4 linked regions of the Alligator mississippiensis genome follow. The protein of the gene in region 4 interacts with the protein of the main gene of each other region in a pairwise test. Links are inferred from orthologs where the notes say so. Each region holds a gene or a part of one and is shown on either strand. Other genes may lie near its edges. The genes, in order: PSMA1, ENKD1, BYSL and CCDC102B.

Region 1 (7,766 bases), on a different chromosome or scaffold from region 4:
AGATCGCTGCTGTGATAGACAATGTAATGTGAGATGTTGTTGCTTGATAACTTCAGAGGGAAAATGGTTTATTGTTAAAAATAAACACACTACAAGAGGGGAATGATGATAAAAATATTTTGAGAGACAACCTGATTCTAGGAGCACACCATTTTAAAAATAAAGATAAACAGCACTGATTTAATAAGCCAGCTTTTCTATGTAATAATTGCCACCTAGCAAAAGACAGGGAAACTATACTTGGGAGCAAGTTCTTGTTAAGGAGAAATGATGAACTGATCAAATTTGCAGTTACTTTTTGTTGTAATGGAAGATGTTCCTGTCAGATATCATAAGCCCTATGATAGGGGTTTTCAACCTTTTTTGGTTGGGGTACCCCCGGTGGCCAGTCGAGAGGCAGGGAGTCCCCCAGTGGTCAGTTGATGTGCTGGGGCGGGGAGGGTGTCCCCTGGTGCAGCGCACACCAGCAATCCTGGAAGTGCCAGCGGTGAAACCGGAAGTGCTGGTGGCTTCTCCAAGCTGCTGCTGCTGCTTACCCCCTATTGAAAACCCCTGGCCTATGATATAGGTAGGAGAAAAGGAGGCATTAGAAGAGGAAATATGGCCAAGTCTTTTATTACAACGCAGCAATATTTTGTGTAGTCCTCCTTCAGAGGGGTAAACTCAGTGGAAGCAAGCAAACAACATGATTCTGGGGAAACATGGATTGAATGCACAAATCACAGTTTTAGGACAGAAAGTTTCAGTACATGAAGCAGACATAATGTTGTCTCTTAAAGGTGCCAGGTGTCATGTTAAAAGTCTATATAGCAAGACCACAAGAAAGCTTGGCATGTCAAATAAGCACTCTTCCATCTCATCACTACTTTCTAATATAAACAAAACACTTAAGCTATTTTCCTTTATATTTAAACTGCTGTTGACACACCTCCTGAGTCCATGGAGATGTACAGCACTTCTGTGGAGGGCTTGATTGTCTGCAGTGGAGACCAGGCATCTAAAATGGAATCCCTCCCTTAGAAGTATGGTAATTCTGGCCTTGGGAAAGCTTGACCCTGTTCCTTTGAAATTCACTCCACGCCTTGGACTGGCAGCCTGAGAGGGCATAAATTGATATTGCACAATGCCAGCAAACCAGGTTGCTATTTTACCAAGAATCTTATGTTTTAATAGAGCTGCCAGCTTTTGGAGACAAATAGTTATGTGAGAATCTAGCCCCACATTGAAGCACTCTTGTGCCCCACCAGCTCCTATGCAACACTAAGCCAGGTGGAGCAGCCCCAGGCTGTGGCAGGCTTCTCATGGGCCCCCTTCCAGCTGGGGCCGTTCTGACCCAGCTCAATGTGCTGCACTCCCAGAAACACTTGCAGACGCAGCACCCAGGAGCAATAAACTCTGGAGCAATAAGCTCCAGAGTTTATTCAAAAGCAATAATAGCATGTGTAGACATGCCCACTTTGCAATTTATCATGATTTCTGAAGACTAATAAGAGTGATTTTCAACCAGGGTGCCTTGAGATCCTTTCAGAGGTGATGTGGGATGTCATGCAATTTTAGCACCGTTAAGTGTGCAAACATGAAATATGAGATATACCCAACCATTTCAAACAAAAATCCACAGGGTTACGAACATTCTGGCTTATTGTGGTCTTTCTGATTGCTTTGCAATAGAAAAAAATTGTATTATTTTTCCATATTCAAAAAATGAGTAAAAACCCACAGCTGACAGTTTCTGACAGGTGCCTTGAGCTTAAAAAGGCTGAGAGCCACTGGACCAACCACTTTGGAGCACTTGGGGTTTGCAATGCTACAAAGAAGACATACAGCTGTGGAACCAGGGAGGATGCACTGGTGCAGTTGCACCCCACTTTGTTTACTGCTCTACCCAAAATTTTAAACCAATTCCTGGCAGTGACAGCAACATTTCTGTTCAGGCAGCAGTGGGAGCATCAACTGAATTCATGGCTCATTAAAATCTACCTGAGTCTGTCTCATTCAAGAGTTCTTCATTCCACAGGTGTTAATGACCTTCTCTCCTTTTTTAATGGTCTTGATGTTCTGCGAATCAAGCTATCCTTTCTTCTGCAATTCTGCTATTTGTTATCTGCTCCTGGTAATGTAGCTCCTATTTCACAGCTGTGCAGATTGTTTTAAGCACACTCCAGTGAACTTATATTTGTTTTTGCTTTGATGTTAAACTGAATAATATAGTCTTAAGCCCCTAGCATACTAGTAAGGCTTCTAGTTTCTTTATACATTGCAAAAAATATGTGCTTTGTTATATGGGATGATGCACTACATCATTTGCATTTAGCTTTTCAAAACTGTACATCTGCCCATGGAAACACATTAATGATAAGCACTGAAAACAAACCCTCTACAAAGATAAGCAAATACTACAGAACAGAGATGGTCAGAAGAAAGGCTTGATAAAAAACCCCCCAGAACACTAACATTTATTGGATCAGACCAAGTGTTCAGCTTGCTCAGTATCCTGCATCAAAGTGACCAGGAAAGAGTCTCTGGGTGGGAAGACTCCCAGGAACTGCGGGGCCATTTTTCTGTCTCTGGTCTGTTCGCATCTCTGGGCAGAGTTTCACTCTGGGCAGTGCTGAACTCATTCAAAGACCAGCGGGCACCATCTGGTGCTCTATGCTCAGCATGCCCCCACCTTGGTACACTCATTTTGAACTTCTGACCTTCACTTCTGACTCTGTTTTGTCTTTTAGTTGTCCCATGCAATAAGTGATGCGATTAGTGCGCTCCCTCAGCAACGGCGGGGGGGCTTATAGGTCTATTTGGTGGGCTCTGGCCCATGTTCTAGAATGGCATATCAAAAGGTCTGGGTCACACAGTGGTAGAGAGTGGATGCTGAAAGGGAAAGTGAACAAGGTACGACGAGGAACAGTGGAAAAACCCTTTTCTCATTTGCAGTCTCCAGCATTTAAGGTCTAAGAAGTTCTAATTTAGAGGCTGTATCCTTAACACCTATGCTTAGTAGCCACTGATGCCCCTTTCCTCCAAGAATCTGTCTGATCCTTTTTTTGAATCTGGTTACAGTCAGCTTCCACCATATCTGGTAGCAAGGATGTCCACACTTGAATGACATCCTGTGTGAAAAAGAACTTCCTTTGTTTAGTTTTAAACTTTGTTAACACTGGTTCTTCTCTTGTGTGAGACAGGAAATGATAAATCCTTATTTACTTCCTCATCATCATTTATTATGTTGTCAACCTTTCTCATGTCTCCCCTCAAGCATCTTTCCTCTGAACAGAATGGGCCTAACCTCTCTAGTCTCTCCTCACGTGGAAGCCCCTTCATACAGGTAATTATTCTTGTTGCCTTCTTGTGGACCATCTTTAATTCTTCTACACCCTTTTTGAGCCATGGGGGATGAGAACCTGGCACAACGTTCAAGGTGTGGCCACACCTCAGATGTATAAAAGCACATGAGGCTACTTTCTGTTTAGTTTAAAGTTCTTTTCTGAAAAATCTCTAGCATTTTGTTTGCTTTCTGGACAGCTGCTGAAGTGAGCTGCTCTGGGAGCTATGAAGGTGGATGAGGATACAGTGTCTTCACTCATGAGGAATCAGAACTCGTGGCAGAGGGGATATCTTTTATTAGACCAACTAGGTATTTGTAAAAAAAAATTATTTGCAACCTTTCAGGCACAGGCACTCTTCTTCAGGCATAGGAAACAGCAAAGACTGTAAAAGTTCTCCTAGGTAGAGATGAAAATTCATATTTCACAGGAAAGCTGAAGGTGTGATAAAAATCTCCTGTTTGGACAGTTCCTTTTATGCAGATTAGGCTCAGAGAAGTTGGAACAGTCTCTTTACCTCAAAGCTGTCTGGTGGCCAGCAGGATGTAGTCATATTTCCTTCTGGTTATGATGTTTCATATTTCACAGAAGAGTAGAAAGACAGAATACTTTTCTGGGCAGGAATTTCTTTTGTGGTGAGGTATCTCTAGGCTCTGTGAAAATGCAAATTACCTGGAACAAAGGCAGGAGCAGGGTGTCAGGTTTCAAGTGGGAAAACTTGCTTCTTTCTTGTAAAATTATTGTTTTCATTTGAAAAATCAGCTGAAATTCGTTATCTTTCATGTGTCAGGTATCCAGGTAGCAGCCATAGGGGTCTAGAGGCAAAAGGATTCCTGGATACAATACAACCTGGATACCTTTGGTCATGTGAGCACACACAACCCACCCTCCTGGGTGTCCTGCTTCACTTGCACTGGGCTTTACTGCAGTCCACCTATTGGAAAGAAAGAGGGGGAGAAGGTTTCAAGCGATGCTTCCCTGGCCCATGCTCAGGGGAGGGCCCCTCCTCCCTCCCGCCCCGCACGCTGCAACTTCCTTTTGAACTCGAAAGCTTGCTTAATAACTATTCTCCAACTACTTGGGTCGGTCTAATAAAAGATATCAAATTCACCCAAGGAACCTTGTTTGCTTATTAGAAGACTTTCTCATTAGCTAGACCCACTAGCCCTTCCACTCTGCGCACGCGCTGCTCTTGCAGGAGACCCCCCCTTACCCGCCCCTTCACTCTGCACGCGCTGCTCTTGCAGGAGACCCCCCTCCCCTTACCCGCCCCTTCACTCTGCGCACGCGCTGCTCTTGCGGGGGACTTCTTCCTCTCCAGTAAGCTGCAACCTCCTCTCCCCTCTGCGCATGCGTTCGCCTTGCAGGCCAGTCCCCCACAAGTCTCTGATCGATGATTCCTCCAGCGCTTGGCCCGGCCTGGGGAGGTGGTGGAAGTTGCCAGTCCAGACCTGTCGCTCGCTGAGCAGTGCTCGCAGCTGGCTGCCGGGGAGCTCACGCCGCAGTCGCGGGAAGAAAGATGGTGAGAGTCGGGCCCGGGGCCAGGGCCAGGGCCAGGGCCGGAGCAGGGCAGAGGGGGCGGGCGCGGGGCCGGGGGTCCGAGGCGCGCCCTCAGGCCGGGCCGGTGGGGGAGGGGCCGTGAGTAAGCACTTCCTCGTAGCACGTGAGGCCAGGCCAGGCCGGGCCTGGCCAGGGTGGGAGGGCAGGGCAGCTGCTGCCACCCCCCCCGCCAGCGCCTCCCGGCGGAGCGAGCCCAGCCCTGTGCCTGCTTTTGCTTTCGGGCCCGGCCTCGAGGCCCCCCCCCGCGTGCCGACGGGGCGGGAGCGGCTCCTCTGCAGTCCCGCGCGGCGCCCGGAGCCCTGTGGCGGCGCATGCCACCCCCCTTGTACCGCTGCGGTCCCCGGGGACCTGGTGCCCCGGGGCTGCAGCTGCCCCGCAGCCCCTCCCCTCGGGGGAGTGATGGGAGCCGAGGACTCCACCCCTCACACAAATAAAAGAAAAAACAGGTCTTTTTCATAGTCACAGACAGTGAGGGTTGGTAGGAGGTCATCTAGTCCCACCCCCCTGCTCAAGGCAGGACCAGCCCCAACTAGGTCATGCCAGCCAAGGCCTTGTCTAGCTGGGCCTTAAAACCTCCAAAGATAGAGAGTCCAGCACTTCTCTGGGTAGCCTGTTCCAGTGCTTTGCTACTATCTTCTTGAGAGTTTTTCCTGATATCTAACCTAAACTTCCCTTGCTTCCATTTAAGACCATTGCTCCTTGTTCTGTCATGTGCCACCACTGAGAACAGTCTCTTTCAAACCCCGCTTCAGGTAGTTGAAGGCTGCTATTAAATCTCCTCTCAGTCTTGTCTTCTCTAGACTAAAATAAGCCCAGTTCTCTCAGCCTCTCCTCAGAAGTCATGTGCCCCAGCCCTCAAACCATTTTCGTTGCCCTACACTGGACTCGCTCCAGTTTGTCTACATCCTTTCTCTAGCAGGCAGCCCAAAACAGTGCTCCAGGTGTGGCCTCACTGGTGCTGAATAAAGGGGAATAATCATTTCCCTCCATCTGTTGGCAACACTGTTACAGAGGCAGCCCAGTATGCCAGTAGCCTTCTTGGCAACAAGGGCTCAGTGCTGGCTCATATTCAGCTTATTGTCTACTGTAACCCCCAGGTCCTTTTTTGCAGAGCTGCTGGTTAGGATGTGTAGATGATGTAATGCTTATATTAGTGCTGAGAGAATCATACACTGCTTTTCCTTCAGCTGTTTGCTGCTTGGGCAAAGAAAAGACTTCATTGTGTAAGTGGGGTAGTGGTGCCTCTACAGTTGAATGCTTTACTGCTTCATAATTTCCTGTCACCTTAGTGCTTTAGTTTGGATGCAAGTTCACCAATCAAGTTAAACGTGCTACTTATCTGTCACTGTTTATCAAATGAGCATATTTCTGTCTAATTCTGGTTTCAGGTTAAAGAAAATGTTTTTAATATAATAGACATTTTTTTTCCTATCTGCATATATTCATACTAACAAGTTTTAATATATTCATTTCAGTTTCGCAACCAGTATGATAACGATGTTACAGTTTGGAGCCCTCAGGTAAAAAGATTTCAATTATGGTTATTTGCTTCCCATTTTTACTGGTTTCCTTTTTCTCTCTTGATGACAATTGCATCCAGGCATTCAGTGTCCAGCCCCTTTAGGATAGCTTGAAGAGTATGACAAGCTGATGTTGCTCCTTGAATGACTTTTGGGTGTTCTAAAGCACAGTATGAATAGGGCTGCCTATCACAGGTACTATATATCTACTTTTCCCATCCCTGCAGTATTTAAATCTCTCTCAAAATCCCAGGAACACCCCAGGAAAGTAAGTGAGTTATTAGAATCCGTGTTTTGCAAAGGGCACATAAGCTTCAGAGATGCTAAATGATGCATCCATGGTCACCCAGGAATTCTTGAGGAACAAGGAATTTAACCCATTTCTCCTTGGTTTTAGGTGTGTCCTCTAATGACTGGACTATTCTTCAGGTGTTTGCCCTAAAATACCAGAGGGCTCTTAAATTTACAGTTCCAAGAATAATGTCAATAACATTTTATTACAAGCTTTTTTTGTTATGTCATTATTAATTGGTGTTTTGCTTGTGTGCAGAGCATAAAGAATAATTAACATGTCTGCACAGGTCTGTTTGGCTCTCTAGGTGGATTACAGCAGGGGAGCTATTTCCTCTTCTGATTCAAAAAATGATATTTTTTTTTTTGTAATACTGATTAGTTACTTTATTGCATCTTCAACATTTAAATGGGTGTCTTTCCCCATTGTAGTACTCAAACACTAAAAACTATTTTTGTCGTTGAAACATGTAATTATGTAAATATAGAATAGTTTACATGGCAGCTATATTTGATTTTGCATGTTGTATGAAGTATTTATGAATCAAGAGCTAGAGTATGTAAATGATTTGAGATCTTGCCTTTCTGTAATACGGTTTATTCTACACTCCTCCAATATATTTTGCACAGTGCCAGTTTTTAGTTTTCCAAATACAAATATATTCTGGAACCTGCCCTGCACACTACGTGGAGTAGCACTCCATGTAATCATAGAAGCTTCATAATGGCACCATAGTTAAGCTTGTATTGAGATTTGCATTTATATTAAGAAATAAATTTGTCTATAGTCATTTGTCTATGACTTCAGAATGAGCGTTCTGAAAAATACATTGTACTCCATCTAGGGCACAGCCTCTTCGTGGGTGAACAGTGTAAACAGTGCCCCTTAACCACAGGGACAGTATGGGCTAAGTGCTTCATTAAGCCTGGCTATCTTGTTTCTCAGGCCTTCTGCTTCTAATGACAGCCCTGAACTTGACAGAACTAGTTATTTAGAAGACTTTAAATAGATGGCTACTAGTCAGTTTCACCAATTATGTTGTTACAGAGTGCAACTATATTACAAACTAGC
Region 2 (6,826 bases), on a different chromosome or scaffold from region 4:
TGTCTCAGTTTTTACACCTGTAGTTGTGTGTGTACAAATGATCTTAAGCACAAAAATGCCACCAGAATTGCAGGGCAGCTAAGACTGCATCAACAATTAAGGCCTGATTTGTGGGCCCAAGTGTCATTAATTCCTCTGCAAATAACCTCCCAGGGGAAAATAGAAGCTAGTATCAGAGCATTTGATCCTGAAAAGCCAGAGATATTGGCACGTGCTGTGAGTTAATCACATGGGATCTCATAGGAAGCTGGTTGCAGAACAGTCACAGCCTGTTGTGAACATCAAGAATCACTCAAGTTCCAGTCACACAATCTGGACTTGCTGCAAATGAGCCTCTTGCCTTTTGTTTCCTGCTATAATTTGCTGTGGCTGGAGAGCTGATACCTCCTGAGCTACTGCAGTTTAACTGGGAATGGGATTTCAGGGCCTCTAACCCTGCCTGATTGGAGTCCCCTTGCAGGCAAAAATCAAAATCTGTTCATCCTCTGTATCCATTTAAATGTTCTTCAGTAAAGGTTGCAGTTTTTCTCCTGTGGTTGTATCCTGAGCATATAGTTAGCCTCAGAGCTATCAAGCCATAAATATGTGACAGAGGCCTTAAAATGTGTCGGCAGGACTTACTCATAAACAAAAGACCCTGCAAAGACCAGAGGAACAGGAGGCTGGAGGAGGGGGGATATTTCTCCTGTTACAATGTTTTTGACAGTCTCAATGCAACCAACCATCCTGAATGTGGCAGAAGACTTCCAAATTTTGGGGCTGTGCCTTAGCATCCCTGATGACTTCAGGTAAAAACTGATTTATCCTGTTTCTGATTATCCCAGGCTTGCAGCTGATGACAATTAACTTGAATTAGCCATGACTGCTCAGGCAAAAAAATGTTATTTCAGATACACTGCAGGTACTTAGAAGTGGGACCATGGGCTTGTACACCTGTAGAATAAAAAGATTTCTCCTGGGATAAACATGACACCTGTTTTTCCCCACAGAAATCAGATTTCTTCAAGGACAAAGCCTTTTTGAGATCCTCAGATCCTACAGAATTACAAGCCCATTATTCAACTTTAAGTAACTGTGAAGTATCTGAGATAACTTTTCCCCAGAACAATCCTGGCTCATCCAAGGGACAAGCCTGAGAATATTTTTCCCCAGCATGATTTAGTGAATTTTAGTTACCAGACTGCAAGTGTAAAGGGCTATACCACTCCCAGTTTTTGACACTGGTCAATCAGAATGCAACTCAAATGCAGTGTCTGTTTTTAGTAGGCATCTATCTTGCAAAGCAATAGAATTATGCCGAGTGGAACATCAGCTTGCTGAAGGTAATCCTCACTTGAAAATAAAGTAAAACTGGAGTGACCCCTCCAGGGTGCAAAAGCTTGGGCAGTGATTATGGAGACACTGAGCTGTCTGCACACCAGTGTCCCCCTCTCAGCCTTGCTGGTTTAATCCAAAGGAGCAAAGGAGAACATCCAGAGAGTGGGTTTTCATAGATTTCTAGGGTTGGAAGGGACCTTGTAGATCGTCGAGTCCAACCCCCTGCTTTAGGCAGGAAAGAGCGCTGGGGTCAAAGAACCCCAGCTAGGTGCTTGTCCAGTCTTTTCTTGGACACCTCCAAGGTAGGGGACAGCACCACCTCCCTTGGAAGCCCATTCCGTATTTTGGTAACCCTCACCGTAAATAATTTCTTCCTGATATCCAATCCAAATCTACTCTCCTTTAGTTTGTGGCCATTATTTCTAGTAACCCCGAGGGGTACCCTGGTAAACAAAGTATCCCCTATTCCCTGCTGACCCGCCATGATGAGTTTGTAGACAGCCACGAGATCACCTCTCAGCCTTCTCTTTCGGAGGCTGAAGAGGTTCAGGTCCCTCAGTCTGTCTTCATAGGATCTTACACACAGGCCCTCAACCATGCGAGCTGCCCTTCTCTGAATCCTCTCAAAGTTATCCACATCCTTCCTGAAGTGCGGCACCCGAAACTGGATGCAGTACTCCAGCTGTGGCCTGACCAATGCCGCATGGAGAGGAAGCATCACCTCCCTAGACCTGCTCGTGATGCACCTGATAATGCAAGAGTGTGGTTAGCCTTACTTATTACCTCATCACACTGGCAACTCATGTTCATTTTTGCATCAACCAAGACTCCAAGATCCCTTTCCACTGTCGTGGTACTCAGAATGGTATCCCCCAGTCTATAGGTGTATTGGAGATTCTCGCTCCCCAGATGTAGCACCTTGCACTTATCCTTGTTAAACTGCATCCTATTCTGATGTGCCCACTTCCCCAGTCTATCCAAATCTGCCTGGATTCGCTCCCTGCCCTCCAGTGTATTTACTAAGCCCCGTAGTTTGGTGTTGTCTGCAAATTTGGACAGAATGCTTTCAATCTCCTCATCCGAATCACTGATGAAGATATTGAACAGCACTGGTCCAAGGACAGAGCCTTGGGGAACACCACTGCTCACATCTCTCCAGAGAGAAACCGCCTTATCCACCACCACTCTCTGGGTGCGTCCCATAAGCCAGTTTTTCACCCACCTTACTGTGAAAAAATCCGCATCATAGCTACTCATTTTGTCCATCTATTGGGGCTTCACTCCTAGACTGGCTGCTGATCAGAATTAAAGAGCCCAGTCTACCCTATAATGGATTGGACTTCAGTTCCACAACTTTTAGGTGGCATTTCCTCCACGGAGGGTAAGACTAGTACCCCCCTCTAAAGTACTCTTATGCACAAAGTCATTGGCACCCTAAAGATTGTTAGGTTGTTTATCTGCTGCCCAGCACTCAGTGTTAACAGTCGCAGGTAGTTCTGGCTACTGTATGTTATGGTAGCAGTTTTTACTTTCCCTGAAATAAGACTTTTGTCCTGATTTGGTTCCTTTCCACCCTAAGGACAATACCATGTTCAAGGAGCAGGTGCCTTCCCTCCCCTGCTGCAATGCCACATATCCTCAACCAGGTCACTCCTTTCTGGTGTAAAGCAAGGAAAAGTAGGCTACACATACACATCCCTTTGATCACCCTGGCACCTTGCTTCCTTTATGGGTTCAGAAGGGGTCTCAGTAAGCAGCTGTGTAGCAGGCTGGCAGTGCCAGCTGCCACGGTGCAGGTGGCCACAGATGGATCTGGGATTTTGAAAAGGTGGCATGGCTCATTGTCATGTGCAATACAGCACACATTTTTCTCTGGTTAACAAGAAGCTAGTGCCGTGGGTTGGCACTGTAGTATTCAGTTTAAAACGGAAGCAAGAACAAATATCACTATTGGAATGTCCATTAGTTTGCTCGGTTATGTATTATGTTAATAAAAAGACAACAAACTAGACATGAGGGCAAAGATGCTGCGCTGTTAGTTTGGTTGTTGTCACACTGACTGTACGTCTCATTTACTCAAGAGTTGTTAAAAGCTAGCACCTTGGGCCTCTCGACAACAGTGTCTCGGTAGGTCGGGGCAGTCGTGTCTATGCCCCACTTCTGCTTTGTGGCCAGAGCTAAAGCCCAAGCAGAGGCTGCAAAGCTGGGACAGGTGGGACGGGCTGCCATCGCGGCACAGGAGAAAGAAGCATTTCAACAGAAGAACCTCGAGACCTTTGAAGAGGAGAGAGGGGGGCACTAACTAACACGTGCGGAAGGGAGATATCAGCAGGACCCGAGGAGCTGATAAAGGCCCTGAGGCCGCTCGACCCCTCGGCGCTGCCTGAACAGAGCCGCGCCGCACCGCGCCGCGCCGCCAGGCCCCCGGGCGGGGCGGGGGGAACTGTAGGGGCCGCGAGCTGGGGTCGAGCCCCCCACGGGCCTAGCTGCGCATGCGCGGCGGTGGAGCCCGGCCGGACTCCATCTCCCAGCAGCCCCCGCGGCGCCGGAAGGGCCGGTTGCCTGGTGAGGGCTGCGTGGGGCTGCTCCGCCTTGTCCGCCCGCTCTCGGCAGGTGCGTGCGCGGCTCTCCCGGCCCCGGGCGCGTCCTGCTGTGGGGGTGGCGGCGGCGGCGGCGAGCCGGGGGGTCGCGTCAGGCTAGGCCAGGCCAGGCCAGGCCCGCCCGCCTGTTGGGGTTGCGTCAGGCCCCGTCCTCGGTGGGCCGGGCCGGGCCGGGCCGTGCTCCCCGCGCCCCTCGGCTCCGCCGGCGGGGCCCAGGGGCGGGGGTCGGGGGCGCTGAGCACCGACTGCTTTGGGGCAGCGGGACGGGGTGGGCGGAACCAGCCGGCTTCAGCGGCCTCCCCGGTGGGGCGGGGCGGGGCGGGGCGGGCGGCGGCAAAGGCGGCGGGAGCGGAGGCTGAGTTGAGCAGCGTGTTATACAGTAATTAAAGGAGAAAGGCCGGGGGAGCCGCCCTGGCTGCGCTTGCGGCTGCCTCTCCCTGGCTCCCTCCTGGCATTCAGAAGCGTGCCGTGACTCCTGTAGGTGCTGCAGCCAGGGGAGCAGCACAACAGAGTGGAGACAGCTTCGGTTTTTACAGCATCTGTCCTCTGCCAGCACCTCAAAGCACTGCACAGACAGCAGCAGGGAGTATAATGCTGAAATGGGGCAGTTTAGGGCAGCTATTTGACAGCACCAGTTGAGGGCAGGAAGTGAAATTGCACAGGGCACAGCCCGGCAGAGAGCCTGGAACAGCAGAGACTGTGACTAGAGCTGGGGCTAGCATCTGACCTTCAGAGGATGAAATAGGATCTTTATGGGCAGGAGTGGTTAGATCCCCAGCTTCTGGGTGTTTTGGAAAGGTGGTGGATACTGGTGGGTAGAGATCCTGTACCAGTGAGCAGTTGTACCTTAGGAATCCATTAGCGCCCGGTGCTGGGAGAGGGCAAGTATGAACGTTTGCTCGGTTTTCACTTGCATCAAATGGTCACGTGAAAATGTATAGCTGGTTCCTCCTGGTTTTAGCTGGCCAGTGCAGCTGTGGGCCTGTTGGGGTGTTCATGAACTCTGAGCCTTGTAGAGGAAGCCTCAGAGGTTAGCTGAAGCAACTAAATGTTTCTAATGCAGTTTGCTGGAACACCTCAGGGGCATTGTGGCAGTGCTGGTACTTGGCTAAGAGTTCAGTCTCAGGGACAGATTGCAACCTAATTACACTTAACCTGCCCAGTTGGGCCTGGGCTGGTCTATGTGCTAGATCTAGCAGTATGGGGCCAGTGGGCAGGACTGGTCTGGTGGGGTGTCACATGCAGCACATTCCTTGTGCTGGAGCAGCCCTTGTATTGTAGTTAGTGTCAGTTAGTCTTGCTCCAGGGGTTATGCTGCTGGAGGCTGTACATGGGCTGGATCAGGCACTGTGGGTGCTGCCTGTTGCCTTGGGGACTGGCTCACGGTATAAAGCTGCATCCCAGTGGACTGGCCCTGAACTCTGGCTCTGAGGCTAATCAGGATTGGGCTCCAGGCTATCTGTGTGCAGGGCTGTGTGCAGTACATGCCCCATACCAGCTCTGTGTGGCAAGCAGTACCTCTGGTGCTGTCTATCTGGCTCACCAGAGGTAACACAGTCTTTGGAGTGGGGCTGGCATATGGTGTATGGGCTAGACCCAGTGCCATGGGTGCTGCTTCTTGCACTGGGGGCTAGCACAGGGCTTGAGCTGCATGTGGTACCCTGCTGAATAGCCTGTCCTGCTGGCTCCAGCACAACCTGATCCAGACTGGTCCCAAAGCTAGTGCACAGGGTTGGCCCAGCAAGGATACCTTATACAACTCATGCCCTGAACTGACCCCCTGTGCTGCAAACAGTGCCTGCAGTGTTGGATCTACCCCTCACACTGGACTGGCTCCATGTGCTGCATGCAGGGTTAATTGGAGACTCGCAGGCTGAATCTTTTGTGGCTCCATGGGCCAGATCCGGCCCATGGGCCGTGTTTGATGACCCTGGTGTAGGGCATCTGGCTGATCTCTCCAGTGGCAGGGTTTTAGCCTTTCAGGACTTCAGTAGATGTACGTTTCTTGCACCCTGAATGTCTGGAGTGGAGATAATCACACCTGTGTAATGTCCAGCTTGTCTGAGCTGCATGGGACAAGTGCTAGTCATTTAGGCTGTGAACGATGCTCCAGAGGTTGAATCCTCTGGCTGCTTCCTTCCTTTCCTTGTCTGTGAGATAAAAGGGCCCTGAGAAATGCTATCTTTGGTCCTCAGTGGGGAGCTGCAATGGGAACCCACAAAAAGCCAACCCCTCCCCTCATTTCTGTTTGAGATGCGGCCAGTGGACAGATGAAGACAAAGCATATGTTGGAATCTGTAGCATCTGATCTAGTGGAGAGCTGTATGCTGGGTCCCACAATCTCTGCATGGGAAGGATCCTTGGGGCAGAGCAGAGGGAGGCTGCTTGCTATGCTGTGGCCAAGCCTGTGCTGTGCTGTCCTGCCTGTTCTGGCCCAGGAACACAACTCCCTTGTCCTTGGAGCGTTAGGAAGGTCACACCTACATCCTCACCCTCTCTTTAAACAGGTATCGGTCTTGGTCCCTGCCTGGTATCCCAGATGAAAGTCCCATTTGCCTTGTGTTCTGGGCTATTGCTGAAGGGTATTCTGCCTCTTGGAAAGAGCATATGAGCTACCTTTGCTCCTAACAGTTTGTGTGTGAAGGCCAGCCCAGTGTATAGGGAAAAGACCTGAACACACAAGTCACCAGCATAACTGGTGTTAATTGGCCCCTCTGTCAGCAGAGAGGCAGGAGAGTAAACAGGCCTTGAAGGCTGATGTTTGAGGGCAAGGCAGAGGAGACCCTCTGGGAACAGAATATGGTTTGCAGTCTCTGTGGCTACCAGGAGCTTCTCATTTGCTTTGGGACCCATGGAGAGTGTCAGTCTATCCTGTTCCTATCTGCAGTGTGGGCCAAGGGGAATGTACA
Region 3 (7,925 bases), on a different chromosome or scaffold from region 4:
CAAACCCCTTTAGTTTTTTTGGACAGGGGAAAAAGGCCAGCTTCAAAGGCAATGTCTGATACTGGAAGCATTTTAGTCATGTGGTGCGTTTTTTAAAAAGTCATCACAAACCGCAATGGTTGACCCCTGCGCACCATAAACTCCTCTAGGAAAAAAAACGAGCAGTGCACACACTGCAACAAACCTCTAGAAAATGATGTTCTAGCCCAAAAGACGTTTATTTGCAAATCTTTTTCACTCCAGTTAAAATGGAAATTCTGTAACCTTAGCTGAGACGGCACTGCCAGCCCGGGATGTTATTGCTGGGGGGCACCAGGCCTGTGGGTAGTGTTAGTGGTGCAGGCTGGAGTCCAGGGATACCTCAGATATAGCCTCTCTGAGTCAGCAGTGCTCAATCTTTTGGCCACATGGGCCAGGTGAGTCACGTGGAGTGGGTCTGTGGGCCAGAATGGGCCCTGGGTGCCTGGTCTGGGCTCTGTGCCACCTCCCCTTGGCCCTATGCACCCGAATTGGCTGCCATACTGCCTCCCCTGCCCTACACACCTGATCTAGCACGCAGGGCCACACTATCCAGCCCACAGGGCTCCTCAAGGGTCTGGAAATTTGGCAGCAGGGTTGCTCCCCCACCACCAAATTTTTGGACCCGTGGGCAAGGTTCTTTGGGTAGATGTGATATATTTTATTAGGCCAACGGAGTAGTTGGAAAAAAGTTCTTGGCAAGCTTTTGGGCGCAATCACCCTTTGTTAAGTATAGGGAGTCTCTGCCTGACGAAGGGAGACTATGCCCAAAAGCTTGCCAAGAACTTTTTTCCAACTACTCAGTTGGTCTAATAAAAGATATCACATCTACTCAAAGAACCTTGCCTACCTAGGTCCTTGGACCAACACGGCTACAACCAAAAACCCAGAAACCTGGACCTGTGGGGAACTTTGTGGGCTGAATGACATGCCTCCACAGGCCAGAACTGGTCTACAGACCAGGGGGTCAAACACCCCTGCTCTAAGTTGATTTGAATGAAGTTGCTCTAAAACCACATATCTAGTAAGACTGTCTTAAAAACTGGTATTCTACAACAAGCCCTGGGGCAGACAGTGGAAGGGAGAAGGAGAACAGTGATGAATGGATCAATTCACACCTCGGCCCAGGTTGTATTCAACTCCAGTTATTTAAGAACTTGTTTTGATGAATGAGGTCACTTCACACCTCCGTGATTCTCAGCACAAGAAGGAAAAGTCTATGATCTCAATGCAGCTGTAAGCCATCCCTGTGGCAGCAAATACAGCTGTCCCTGGCCCAAGGGAGAGCAAGGGTGATGCATGCAGATAAACGGGAGAGTATAATGTGGCACATTTACACATTCCCTGCATCTGCTTATTGTAGAGCAGCTGTGCCTGAAGCATAATTGCAGTATACCCCAGGAGGTCTTGCCAGCCAGAAGAGACAGGCTGTGAGGCACGGCAGACATGTCCTTAGCTCTGCATTTCCTGGTTTTCCCAGGTTTAAGTACAGATGCATTCTGGAAGGTGTGAGGCACCCTAGCTCTGCAATAACAACTCTGTAGAGAAGTGAACAATACCATGCATTTACAATCACCTGTCTTCTAAGGCTCCTAAAGTGTTTCCAACCTGGAATTGAATCCTCCAACCCCATATGAGGTGGGTCAGGATTGCTATTTCATTTTAGAAGTGGGGGAAAAAACCACAGAGGCACAAAGATTAACCATACCTCACCCAGAATCACACCCAGGTCAGAGAACAGACCTCAGGTCTCTCTCCTACCTGGAGGGCAAAAGTTTTACCAGGAGTCAACAGCCACAAGAGTGAAAGCAGAGCTCCATGCCATCAGCCCTATCAGAATGGCCCACATTGTGGGGACATAGCTGCTAAAGCTGGGGCAGGCAAAGTCTGGTGGATCAAGCCTGCGGCAGACTTCATTTCCCAGCAGCCCCTGCCTGCATCACTGCAGCCAGTTTCCATGGAGACCCCGGCAGGGCAGGACTGTGACAGCATGGGGCCAGGGTTTCCACGGAAACTGGCCCCAGCAGCGCTGGCAGAGAGCGGGGCTGGGTAGGGAGCTGCTCCGGGGCCAGGATCTTGAGCCAGCGACAGCGTGGTCCAGGGCTGGGACAAAACTATGACCTGCTGCCCTTATGCCCTGGGCAGGGGCGTGCAGGCAGCAGATCGCGGCTCTGCCCTGGCTCTGGACCACGCTGTCACTGCTGAAAGATCCCAGCCCCGGAATAGCTCCCTGCCCAGCCATGTGCTCTGCCAGCGCTGCTGGGGCCAGTCTCCATGGAAACCCTGGCCCCGCGCTGTCAGGATGCCACTGCTGCTGGGTAATGGAGTCCAGCCACCAGCTGGATCCACAATTTTGCTCAGCCCTATGCTAATGGGACCACAGCAGCCAGAAGGTGGTACAGACCTGTCCATATAAGCCTTTGTTAGCTGTTAAATAGCAGCCTTCTGTCTGCCCAAGAGATGAATTCACTCTGCCGGCAAAAGAAAAAGATTTTGATTCCACATAGCAGCTTTGAGTGGGGGCATGCTTACAGGAGGTAGAACTGAATCCCGCTAGCAAGATTATACAGCATAGACCGGGCTTGTCTGACCAGCTCTTCCTTCCTACCGCTAGTTCAATCCAGTTCAGTAGCACCATGCTGGGGAGACGACTGGAGAGAAGAAAGGTATAAACAGGAGAAAGAAGAGGCCTCAGAGCTGGCTTTAGCACTCCCAGCTAGAACAATAAGAGGACAATAATTTAACTCATTACGAGAGCAGAGTTCAACCCAACCAGAGCTACCAGCTACTGCAGCCAATATAAGGTTCTCTGCAAAGCATTTCACTCAGATAGCGAAACGACAGGCTGACCTTGGTTGCCCATGGTGGAGGCAGCTGTGTGGTAGGTCTCACAGTCGACACAAAACGTTCCTTGTTTCTCTGCTCCGAGCAGCTCCAGTTTCCTTGTCAGGATTTCAACCGTCTGTTGGACACTCTTCCCCTCTGCCACTGGCATCTGAGATACACTATCGAAGAGGAGTTACAGAAAAGAGTCAATAACCATAGATACCGAGACACCTTAACCAAGGCAGAATGCAATACAGCCAGACAACAGCGTTTTGCATCTAGAACAGAGATTAAAAGCCGACACGTGATGACCATTTGCTTTGTAAAGCATTTGGACGGTACTGTCAGCATTACTTTCATCTATCTTATCCGCTCACACTAGTGATTCTCAACCAGGGTGCCAGGGTACCCTGGGGTACCCTGAGATCCTTCCACATAATGTTAGCACAGTTGGTTATACAAACCCAAAGATTTCAAACAGACTTCCATGGCTGAGGGCTTTCTGAGTGCTTTACATTGGAAAAACTGCTCTATTATTTTCCCATGTTCAAGAAATGAAAACTAAGAGGCGGCACTTTCTAACGGGCACCTCTAATTTATCCAGGGATGCCTTGAGTCTAAAAAGAATGAGAACTGCTGCTCTCGGCTTCTCAGGGCAAGGACGATGCTACTCAGTGCCTTGTTCATGTTTGTGCCTGAAGCATTACAGTACTAAACACGACTAGCAAATGTAACAAACACCTCTAAAGGCTGTAAAAGGACCGCTGTGATCATGTAATCTGGCTTTTTATGCAACACAGGTCACAGAACCTTACCCGGTAACTTCTACCTTGCTGAACGACAGCAGCAGTTCCCAAACTAGGGGCTGTGAGGCCTTGGCATGGGGTCTGCCGGTGGGCCACACACACTGCTAGGTCCCACATACTTTTCTCATGCTTCCAGTGAAACGTTTGATGATAAACCTGCACTGCTAGCTTGCGAGAGAAATGGAGGATGGACTGCTCCGTGAGTACAAAGCCCTGAGCTAGATAGCGGGTCTTTTACAAAGACGTCCTGTCTCAGGTTAGAGACAGGTCCACAGAAGAAACCCTCGCTTCCAAGAGCAGGCAGGCACACCCAAAAGCCCCACGTCTGGCATTTTCAGTCCACTCCATGTCAACCCTGCTGTTCTCCACAACCCAGAAAGCCCTACAGACAATGGTTATTTGCCCTGCACAAAGTGCCACAGCGACAGCCCGATGCCATTCCTGCCGCCCCTATAAACATAGGACGAGCATCGCAAGGAAGAAGCCTCGGCCAGGCAGGACTGCTTCGCACCCGGCGTCTGCCCTGTTCCGGTGACAACAGCAGACACCCAGAGCACGACTTTGTCCCCAAGGCCATTTTGCCTTTTTGCCAAGGGGACCCTGCGTCTCTGTTCTGATACAGCGGCACCTCCGTGCCCCTGACGCCTGGTGCCATCACAGCCCTGTATTTGCAGCTGCGACGCTGACCTGGCTTGATCCAGCCTGATCTCTTGTCAGTTCCTCTCAACCCTGTCTACCTCCCAGCCCCTTGCTCACCAGGGGCCTCATCCCACTCCTCACCGCCTGCTCCCGGTGGTGGTACCGCAGGCGGGTGCTGAGTGGGGCCTGGATCTTCAGACCCCTGTGCATTGAGGGGCAGCTCAGCCTGCACCCCTCCCCCCATGGGGGGATCTCACCTGCCCTCGCCCCTTTGCTCCCTGCAAGCCTCCCCCCAGCCCGCACACATCCGGGGCCCTACCAGGTGACCCCCATGCTGGGCCCAGCGCTCCCGGCCAGCCCCTGCCTACTCGGGATCCTCTTTGCAGGCGCGGGGACCGCCTCTCCCGAGCAGGAAGCGGAGTTTCTAGCCCAGCCCCGTCCTCTCCCGCTGGAAGGGGTGGGAAGCCGAGTAGGAAATGATGTCAGGCGGCCAGAAGTGGGTGGGGAGGCCGAGCTACGACGCTGGGAGGGGATGGAGGGGGGGCAGGAGACAGGGGCAACCCGCTGCTGATGCGGGCAAGCGCGGGTTCCTCCGCCGCTGATCCGGGGGCACGTGGGCAGCGGACAGACGAGCAGCTGCCCTTCACACGCGGTTCAGTAGCTCACACCCGTCCCAGCTCTGGCCTACACACATCAGCCCCGTCTGCCCCTTGTAAAAAAAAAAAAAAAAAAAGAATGAAAAAAGAAAAGAAAGTAAAAATTGGGCGGCGGCGCCTTTAAGAGCGAACGTTCGGACACGCCTGTCGCAATGGTCGGAACGTTGAGAGTCGCAACGTTCCATCCGCGCCTGCGCGCCGCGTTGCTCCCCTCCGCCCACGTGTGCGCGGATCGCCATGCCGAAGGCCAAGCGGGCCAAGGGGAGCGCGGGGCCGGGGGAGGCGGTGCGGAGCCTGCCTCTGGCCGAGCAGATCCTGCAGGGCCAGGCGGTGCGGCCCAGCCGGAGGACGAAGAAGCGCGGCGCGGCCGCGGAGGCGGAGGACGAGTATGTGGATGAGAAGCTGTCGCGAAAGATCCTGGAGCAGGCGCGGATCCAGCAGGAGGAGCTGGAGGCCGAGCACTGCCCGGGCCGGGGAGCCGAGCCGCCGAGGAAGACCACGGTGTTGGGTGAGCGGGGCGGGGGAGTAGCTGAGAAGAGATGTCAACCCGATCCCCTTCGATCCCCCCCACCCTGAGCCCCGAGGGCAGGTCGTGGCGCTGGCAGGGGCACGGTTCTGCCTTCCAGGGGAGAGGAGGGCAAACCCTACACCACCCCGCGCTGTCCCACACCTGCCTTCTCATCCCTTTTGATCCATGCTCTCTCCCTATAGTGTCTGATCACCTTCCAGAGACGTTTAGGGCTGGAAGGGACCTCGTGGGATCATCGGGTCCAGCCCGCTCTGCTCTGGCAGGAAAGACATTTTAGTCTTCCCACAAACGCAGGTCTCAGCCCCCTGTGGGTCTTGTCTTCCGAGCAGCACACTGCAGAAGTAGAGAAGTCCTGCAAGAAAGTCAGGACTGAATCCCTGCTTCTTGATGTCCAGTCCCTGGCTTTATTCCCTGGGTCCTTGAACGTGAAATTCTCCCTGCCCTAAATCACCGTAGGTTGTTCCTGTCTATTGATAAACAGCAGCTGACCTAGGGCAGGGATGGGATGAATTCCCACTGGGATTGATTGATCAAGTATGCTCCTTAAAGACAAAAGGGGTGAGCTGTGGTTTTATGTTCCATTTTAATAACATAAACAGGGAGTAGGGAAGGTCAGACATGGACCGGACACCCCTCAGTACTCCTGCTACAATAGAGATCGTTCCCTACGTCAGACTCCCTTCTAGCCAAGCTCTGTAGCAGCCTGCATACATGCTACTGCTTAGCTAGCACGTCAGCCTGTTTTTGTCACTGTAGATGGTATTGCTGTGCGGTCAAACCTAGCAGATTGAGCTGAATGGATGTCTTTCTGTCATACTAGTGATGTTTTGGACTAGGGCCGTTGCTAGGCCAGGATGCTGTAGCTGTGGGACAAACCACGTTCACTGCAAATACTGACAAAGAGCACTGGAAAGAAATTATTTAGATTCTACCTTGGGAACTTGCTTCATGTATATGTGGCCATTAAAAAGTATAGAATCATAGAACATTAAAGTTGAAAGGGACCTCAGGAGGTCATCTAATCCAGGCCCCTGCTCAGAGCAGCACCTGTCAACCTAAAGTAATCCTCGGACATGGGAAATCTGAAAACCTTTTATTTGCTGTTACCTGGAACATCTAAGCTAACTGAAAGACCAAAGAGAAATATTATATCTTGTATATTAAAGTTGATGGGACTGCTCTCATGTGTGATGTCAAAGGTGTGTGTGAATGCATGGACCTGTAAGCTCAGCCCCTGAGGCAGCTTTCCCTGTGTCTGTGGGCATCCATCCTCAAACAAGGTTTGGGGGGTAAAAAAAGTGTTTAAAAATAGGGCAGTGCTATTGCAAAGCTACAAGAAAAGCAGGGGGAACGCGGGTGCAGAGGTAGGACTGGGAGCTGCTTATAACTCAAATCATTAGAACTTCAGATTGGCAGGGTCTCTCTCAATAATGATGTTGCGGTTCAGATGTGCTCTGTTTAATCAAATGTGGGTGGCAGTCCTCACTGTGTCTTCAGCCAAGGCCTGGCAGTCTCTGGTGCCCATCCGCTTGGGCTATTGGACTTCTTCACATTGACCTCTCAAACTACTCATCACTATAGAAGAGGTGATGAGAGACTATGGTATGGAGAGCTAACTGGTACAGCACAGAGGTGCTTAGTTTTCCAATTTGTCCAAGCCTAACCGTGCCTTGTTTGGTTTAGGATCTGCATCTCGCGATGGGGATTCCGATGCAGAGGACGATGACGAGTGGCCCACACTGGAGAAAGCCACATCCATGGAGAAGGAGGAGTATTGTGAAGAGGTGACAGTGAACCCTGAGGATGAGAGAGCCATCGAGATGTTCATGAACACGAATCCACCGCTAAGGTAGAAGATGAGCCTCTGAGCTGCAGTGTGGCACTTCTGAGCAGCGGGCAGTATCTTCTGCCACCATGCGGCACTGGAATAGGGTTAACATTTCATGGAAGCGCATGGATGGGGGTGGCTGCCTAAAGTGCTGTTCCCCACCTGTCGTTGGGGAAACTGAGGCATGGAGAATTGTCTTGTTCAAGCTCATAAAGGAAGTCTGAGGGAGGGCTAGGAACAGAGCCCAGGAGTCCTGATGGCCCCTTTCTGGGTGCCAAGCAGCAGATAGTACTCCATTTTCGAGAACTGATGCATGTGTGGCACAAACTCCCTGTTCCTAAATACTGTGTGCAGTACCTGAGATCAGGGCCCAGTTGTTATTGGGCAGTAGGCAGTCCCAGCCCCAAGATCTGGCAGTCTGAAAAGTTAAGACATGTAAAGCATAGAGGGGGAAACAAGTACAGATTCAGGAACTGACTTGTCCATGGTCCACAGTAGCCCTGTGGCAGATCTTAGACTAGAACTGGCGTCTCCTGAAACCTAGTCTGGGGCTCAGTGCACTAGAGCAGGGGTGGTCAGCTTGTTGTGAGATGTGTAGCCTCTGTTTGTGGCAGGCAGCAGAT
Region 4 (7,446 bases):
ATCCGGAGCTGAGTCGAGTTCAAGCACCTGTGTCACGTGCTTGAAGGGGAGTGGGGAACCAAGAAAAGAGATCTGATTACCTCTCCATATGCATAATGTTATATAAGTTGATTAACAGTGTCTAAGAATTCCTTTTTCTACAGTGTCTACCCAAGGTTCAAAATACATGTCAGAAGCGGATCCAGAGAGAGAAAGAGAGACGCAGAGGTCGTCTGATGTGTGACTCCACCATGACACCTATTGAACTCCTCGTCACTGAACTCTTTGTAACCAATATATTGATGTGTATGTGTGTTGGTTATTATTTGGTTCGGTCCGTAGAGGACAAACTACTGTCGTTGTATACTTTTGTACATAGTCATTTATCTTTAAAAAGGAGCGATAACTTGGATGGTGTGCACGTGCTTCAAGTCCCAACTGTGTCTTTGGCAAGGGGGCATGTCAGAGCTGATTTGAATCAGTGCCTCGACACAGTGGAACTTTCTAGCACAAGGCACGGTAAGGCAGGGGAAGTCTTGGCATGGTGAAGAGTTCCGACGTGGATAGAGTTCCCGCCAAGGAAATGCAGATTTGCATAATGTGATTGGCTGATGTTAAATTATTCCCATGTGGCGGCTGGCAATTGGCTCGCTAGCCATATAAAAGGTTAGGGGCGTTTCCGCCCTAGTTGGAGAACTCTGCGATTCCCCCTGGAGTGGAACTCCGGCAGCTTGATCACCTGCCAACGACTCCCCGTCGGCGAAGCCTTGCGACGTACCCTCCGTGTTGCATGCCCGAGTTAGACCCGAGCTACCCTGTCTACAAGAGCTCCTTGATTACCGATTAGAGAATAGAATTGTTGCAACTACGATTGCCTGCGCTGTATACGACTCTACAGTGTAAGTAAAGCTACCTCTGTTTTCCAATTGATACATGTCTCGTTTGTGCCTAATTCTGCTCCGGTGATAGAGAGTACCCATCTTCCCGTCACGGGATCGCAGCCGCAACCCCAGCTAGCGTTCCCAAGGACTCCTGATCCTCGATTCCCCCTTGGCCCCCACAGCTACAAAATGTCTCGGCCGGGCTGAGCCGACTCGAGGTGATTTAAAAACTGCTCGTTCGTCAGGGCGGGCTGGTGAATGGAGAGGCTGACAAGGCTTAATGGTTGTAAAAAACTTTACTTACGTCGCGGGTGGCTGCGACGGAAACGGTTTGGTCGTCTGGACAACAATGTGAGTTGCTTCAGCTGGTGAGGCCAATGCCAGTAAATTCGTCCGTAATTCAAGCCGGTGGAAAAAGGGTACGTCTGGGACTGCGTTCGGCGACGGGAAGAAGGATCGATAGGTGATCAGTCTATCGATCAGCTAGCCGCAAGTCGGATCTCTTTCGAGGCACTCTGCAGCGTGCTCAAAGCTCTTTGACTTGGGCGGAAGTCGCGCTAGTTTTTAAACGGCCAGCAAGCCAATTACCGGCCGCCACGTGTGAATAATTTAGCACTAGCCAATTACGGGGCACAAATTTACATCCGAATGGCAGGAACTCTTTGCACCATGCATTTCTGTGCTGCAAAGAGAATGCATCCTGCAAAAACAGCTGCAAAGTGGCGGGAACTCTCTCCTGCACGCGGGCTCTCTATGCAGCAAAAACCCTCGCTGTGCAAGAGACTCTCGTGTGTCAAGAAAATTCCATAGTGCCGAGGCACCAAACTCACTGGGTTATGACACAAAAGACCAAAGGAAACGTGTTATGGTGAGTGCTGGAAACATGAACTATGTCATGGAAATAGCATGCAATATGTTTCAAGTAATGTGCATAACTGTGTGGGGGCTTGTCCCTAATACATTAGTGATTATGGAGTGCCTACAGTATAGTCTAGTACCTCTTTTTTTTGGATATTGCGGTTTTTAGGGTGCCATTCTGTATGTGGATTGTGGCATCAAGAAAATTTATTTTAGTGTAGGAATATTACAGAGAAAGTTTTATGGAGGGGGGATAGTTGGAAACCATATATAAAAAAAACCCCCATGGAGAACCATATTTATGTTCACAAGACCAGCAAAAGAAGCTATAAGCTACAGTCAAGCCCTCAGGTGCTACTGTATCTGCTCCGAGGAAAATAGTAGTGATTCCTACTTGGGCAGCCTAAAATCTGTCATTATGCAAGGACCCTACAGTACCAAAATAGACTGTACCTTTGAAAGAAATACTCTGCAGTAACCTGCTACAATACAAAAAGAAACCCCACTGTTGCCACCTACCACCACACACTAGAACTGATTAGAAGAATCAAGAAACAACCACAGCTTCTGCTCAACAAAGATGAGACATTAGGGAAAATATTCCATGCCCCTCCACTCCTGGCTTTCAGAGAACCCAGTTCTCGCCCAGTTCACTGTCAGAGGCAAACTCCTCACTGTTCAACAGGCATCAAGTGGGACACAGCCTTAGCAATAAATGCTTAAACTGTCAACACACATCTCCGCTTCTACTATAATCAACACACCCCTCCGCCACAACAAACAATTCAGAATTCATGGAGAGACATATTTTCCCAAAATTACATTTCTGATTCAATGTACCAGATGCCCTCATGGAAATTACATGGATGAAACTAATCAACAGCTATGCATTGGAGTCTAGGGACAGACATTACACACACACCGGTTTAAACGATCAGAAACTTGTTTAAATTTGTAACACAACAGATGTTCAGTGCACATAAACCAGTTTGAAAATGGCTGAATCCGGTTTGAGATAAACCTGGTTGAACGTAGTATCAGACTTAACTGATTTGGCTCAAACTGGTTTAGGCAATGTCTGTCCCAGACCAGAGTGAACCTTCACGGGAAGCAGTATAAAGGACACAGACACACACATGTTGATAAGGAGCACATGTTTTATAGAACAAGCACTTCCTTTTTGACCTCACTATTCTCCTGCTCAAGGGATATCTACCAAAAACCTTTAAAAGGTGAGCTTGGGAACAGAAATTCATAAGCTGGCTGGACACTAGGAACTGAGGACTGAACACCAATATTGATTTTATAACACACTATAATCTACCTGATTCCTGAAATTATTCCTACACACTACAGGTGATAATGACCCTTTTCCTCTTGAAAGGTCTTGATCTCCCATCAATTGATCTTCTTTTCTTCTGCTAATTCTTTGTCTGCTACCCCTGGGAATTTCTCTCCCTCTCTAATTTCATAGATCTACCCACTGTGCCTAACAATTTCTGTGCTTGCTTTCTTCTTCAGACCTGAAGAAAAATGCTTTGCATTTAAAGGCTTATCTAATTCCAAATAAAGGAGCTGGTCCAATAAAATATATCACATAAAAAAGTCCTTGCCTCTCACATAACTCCTGGACCATTACAGTTACCACATGTCTCTAGCACTACCATGTCTTATTACATGACATACAAGAATGGATCCTAAATCTGTGGTTAGGGAGTTTTAGGCTAGGGGTTTTAGGCTTTATAACAAAGTTATTGAATTATGGCACAACCTAGGCCCTGAAATCATGGGATTTTTCAGGGTGCATGTGTGGAGTTTTCTTTTTAAATTAAAAACTTCAAATATTAAGTTTCTCAAGAGACTCATGACCTGTTACATCACATACATGTCTGACTTTATGCCCCTAAGAGTTCCAACTCCACCAGTGCTTAGAGGTTCCAGAAATTTGGCAACAGGGGAGCAGCAATTAATGCTGCCACTGCTCCTCTGCCACCAAATTCTTGGACCCATGGGGAGATTCATGGGCTGCATGACATGACCTCATGAGCCAGGTCTGGCCAATGGCCTGGAGGTTGATTACTACTGATGTAGTATATCACAAGTCTTTGTTGTTTTGCAGCCTTAATAAGTAGTTTGTTTGTCACAGGAAAACCCAAGGTGTGCTAGTACTATACAGCAGTGGTTCTCAACCTTTTTTTGTATCAGGACCCATTTGTAAACATTAATGGCCAGTCCCAACCCAGTGCCCCTCACACCCCAGCCCCCCACTGTGTGGGGCAGGTGGTGGATATGTGGGGCATGGGGGTTCACAAACACTGCTATACAAAAATGTAAGAGGGATTTTTTCCATCCCCAAGGTTATTCTTTTTTAAATCTGAAAGACACCAAAATAAATAAGTGGCCTTGTTTCATTTGAAGATGCTAATTCTGAAATGAATCATTGAAGTCAATGGTACACTTAGATTAGAATATTCTGAAATCTTTGAACAAATTGGGGTCATAATTTATAACCGACAATGAAAGAAGGGTTAGAAACACAAAGAGAAGCAATGTTTAGTAAACAATAATAAGCACAGTTTTAATTTTGAGTGAATGACCTGTATTTAAAAAAAATGTTGTGGCATTAGTTTTGATAAATCCTGACCAATGGGAATTGTTTTTCAAGTTACTGTGGAATGGCCTTAATGCTGCGAATAATCCTGTTGGCCAAGACCCCAGTGCTCTGCAGATGAGAAAAGGATGCAGGAAATTCTGTTGTTTACACATATGTCTGTAACACTGAGAAGCGAGAGCAGCCCAGCAAGCCTGAGGGTAAGGGGATTTAATATGCTTGCGAGTTTATGATTTAATTTTTTAATGTTCCTGTTGGGATAGAAGTTGTTGTCATACCCAGGGTGAAGCTGTAGAACAGCAGATGTGCATACCACCTGAAAAGATAATATGTCTGAAAAGAAATGTAATTTTTGAGTACACAACTAGTTTGAACTTTCCTTTCCTTTCCTTTCCAATTTGCCTCCGCTCGGTAAAGTTTATCCAGATATGTAAACTATACTTTGACTACTTAGATATAGTGTTTGCTTATCTAGACTAATCAGGGAAGATTTTAAAATCTTCAGAATATGTTAAGTGCTTTAGATTTTTATAAGTGATGATAACTTCTGAAAAATGAGTGTAAATATGTATTATTTGAAAGCTTCTACTGTCTTGGTGTGTATACGTGTATGTATAAAAGAATCAAAACTTGCTTTATTTTCTATTGCAATAGGAAGAGGTGGTGATGTTTTGGTCATTTTCCACAACCTCATACTGTACTGTACAGAACTTTGTCTCTGGAGTATAGTATTGTTTGAGTTTTGCTGCCGTGCTCATAAATTTCTGTTATTGTTAGCAGGAAGTTTTGTGGTCAGAAAGAATTTCTAATTTCAACAATGTAGATAGTGATAGTTATCTTAATTTCCTTCTGAAAAATACTTGAGTGCAGGCATGATTATGGACTAAGGGAAAAAACAGTGTTAGTCTTTTGCTTAGTTTTATTGCACAAGTGTAATGTAATAGGCTGGCACTACAGAAAGATATATAATTTGTCCACTCTTTGAAGGGGTGGATTCCCAGATGGAATGTGAATATGTGGAATATGTAGACCTATCCCTAGCCAGAGCTCCAAATTCACCAAATGATGTAGAACAGTCTAATAAACACATAGCAAATAGTTATAACAGAGTTTTTGTTCTTTTTTTAAAAATAGTAATGACCTGTCTTTCCATTCTCACTAATTTCATTACAGTTCCCCACATCATCAGTGTTTCTATAAATCAGCCTTGTTCTGTTAAGCATGTCAGAATATTGTTTATTTTGCATCTTCATAGATTTCTGCTGCAATTATTTGCCAGTGCACTGAAGATGCAAAACATTATATAAAAGCTAAGTATTATTAATTGGGCCAATTCTGTCTCATGCACTCAAACATTCCATTGAATTCTGTAGGAGTTTAGGCATGACATTTCAGTCCTTGAACCTAATCTTGCTTGCTTTTTTTGCATTTGTTAAATTCAGCCTGATATTTCCCTTAAAAATATAAAAAAGTTATGCTCTTAATTTCAGATTTGTAAAAGAAATGATTTATCAACATACATGGGCCCTAATCCAGCTGCTAGTACAATCAAAGCATTGCTATTGATTTTTGTAAATCAGAATAAATTAAAAGACTCAAAGGCTCCATCTTGTTTATCCTAATCTGCTAGTTGAATAATCAGATTAGTAAATTGATTAGTCATTATTGTTAAGACCTGCATGTATTCTTCAGCATTTCACATAACACAGCAAGAAACCTGCCCTACTTTTGTTGCACACAGAGGTCACAGTGAGACTGTTGCCACACAGAAGTTTCAGAGGTGGTTGTAAAGCACTGCTGGCCAATAGCAAGTTTTTAATGGCAGCTGCTCTCCACAAAAAATATTCTAGTACAATCTTGTTTCATGGTTCCTATATTTTCTGTTTTTCTTTGAGTTGTCCAGTAGAACTACTGCAACAAGCATGTATCCTCTTCCATTTAAATATTGCATTTTATACTTGCCCCTTTTCCTGAATAAAATGGTTATTGATCACTAGAAATAAATGAAAAACAGCTGGCAGGTTAGTACAATTTAATAATAGTGACAGAAGGACTTGACAAAAAAAAGTCTGTTATAAATCATTGGATCCTTTCATATCTCTTTATAAACAGGCTGTCCTGTAATTTGTAGACTTCATTTTGTGAATATGTTGAATTTGGTTTCATTTATTTTAACCGACTAGATTAAAAACAAAAACAAACAAAACAAACTTGAATTTTCCCAGCACCAGAAGAGGGAGCTATATGCTAAAAGATTCATATTGGGAGGGGGGGGGGGGGGAACAGGCAGTTATGTACCTCTGCTAGCTGTATGGTTAGAGAGAGCTGTGGTTTGAGTTTTTATTTTTTGTTTTCACTTTTTTTCTCTCAGCTCTGATTAACAGCAGAGCTGTGACACCTTTCTGACTGACACTGCCATGATTACTTCTATATAAAATGGTCCACAGAGTGGACTAAACAACATGACTTACCTAACCATAAATCTGCATATGCCTGGTTTAAGTTAAACCTGCTGGGTATATATCCATTCTGTAGAGGAAAATTTCTATGATGGTAGCAGAGATGTATTTTACTATCTTTACTTGAAACTATATATGTTATGGAAAAGTGGTTAAAAAGAACAGAAGAATCTGGGCAGGTCCTTCAAAATTTAAACATGCAGACACGTGCACACTTTTTCAAGAAGGATCCATAGAAATGGATACATAGAAATTTAAGGTTTTATCTTCTGATGTCATTATTTCTTTAAGTTTTAAGCCTCATTCTTCCTTCATTATCTTGGCCTCTGGTTCATGTCCTTTGCTTTTACTTGCTTCCTTCCCTAGCCCAGCAATTTCTGTTTCACTGAATACTTTAAATAGCAATACCAATATAACACTGCCACTATAAATTTATAAGGGTTTAATTGATCCCTTGACCTAACTGCATATCCTGTAATAGGAAATCCTTACTGCTCTTAGGTTTTTCCATATTGTTCTAAGCCAGGGGTTGCAAACATTATTTGGTTGTGGAAAGACCCAGCTCTTGGTAAAGCTGGACCAGTGCTAGTACCCAGATGCTCCTACTACCACTTCCCTCTACGACCAAGCTGAGACATGCCATGGGTGAAGTGCACGG

The links.
Region 1: the proteins of CCDC102B (region 4) and PSMA1 interact in binary tests that used the Homo sapiens proteins (3 or more experiments, as listed by UniProt). The two-hybrid records come from large-scale screens. The link is inferred for Alligator mississippiensis from reciprocal best matches to the Homo sapiens genes CCDC102B and PSMA1.
Region 2: the proteins of CCDC102B (region 4) and ENKD1 interact in binary tests that used the Homo sapiens proteins (3 or more experiments, as listed by UniProt). The two-hybrid records come from large-scale screens. The link is inferred for Alligator mississippiensis from reciprocal best matches to the Homo sapiens genes CCDC102B and ENKD1.
Region 3: the proteins of CCDC102B (region 4) and BYSL interact in binary tests that used the Homo sapiens proteins (3 or more experiments, as listed by UniProt). The two-hybrid records come from large-scale screens. The link is inferred for Alligator mississippiensis from reciprocal best matches to the Homo sapiens genes CCDC102B and BYSL.

The regions. Positions count from the first base shown.
Region 1 is NC_081825.1:195,497,268-195,505,033, forward strand, and holds the start of PSMA1 (proteasome subunit alpha type-1), read left to right. Parts: upstream 1-4,752; 5' UTR 4,753-4,842; coding exon 4,843-4,845; intron 4,846-6,358; coding exon 6,359-6,403; intron 6,404-7,766. UniProt on the Homo sapiens protein: Component of the 20S core proteasome complex involved in the proteolytic degradation of most intracellular proteins. This complex plays numerous essential roles within the cell by associating with different regulatory particles.
Region 2 is NC_081833.1:34,730,910-34,737,735, forward strand, and holds the start of ENKD1 (enkurin domain-containing protein 1), read left to right. Parts: upstream 1-3,825; 5' UTR 3,826-3,930; intron 3,931-4,314; exon of another isoform or gene 4,315-6,424; intron 6,425-6,469; exon of another isoform or gene 6,470-6,826. UniProt on the Homo sapiens protein: Microtubule-binding protein which regulates microtubule organization and stability. Promotes the stability of astral microtubules and facilitates the proper orientation of the mitotic spindle.
Region 3 is NC_081837.1:38,994,438-39,002,362, forward strand, and holds the start of BYSL (bystin), read left to right. Parts: upstream 1-4,908; 5' UTR 4,909-5,182; coding exon 5,183-5,453; intron 5,454-7,157; coding exon 7,158-7,323; intron 7,324-7,925. Other genes in the region: MED20 (mediator of RNA polymerase II transcription subunit 20), read right to left, coding at 2,869-3,023, 4,609-4,622. UniProt on the Homo sapiens protein: Required for processing of 20S pre-rRNA precursor and biogenesis of 40S ribosomal subunits. May be required for trophinin-dependent regulation of cell adhesion during implantation of human embryos.
Region 4 is NC_081826.1:103,259,887-103,267,332, forward strand, and holds the start of CCDC102B (coiled-coil domain-containing protein 102B), read left to right. Parts: upstream 1-4,427; 5' UTR 4,428-4,529; intron 4,530-7,446. UniProt on the Homo sapiens protein: During interphase, forms fibers at the proximal ends of centrioles to maintain centrosome cohesion. During mitosis, dissociates from the centrosome following phosphorylation to allow centrosome separation. Contributes to CROCC/rootletin filament formation.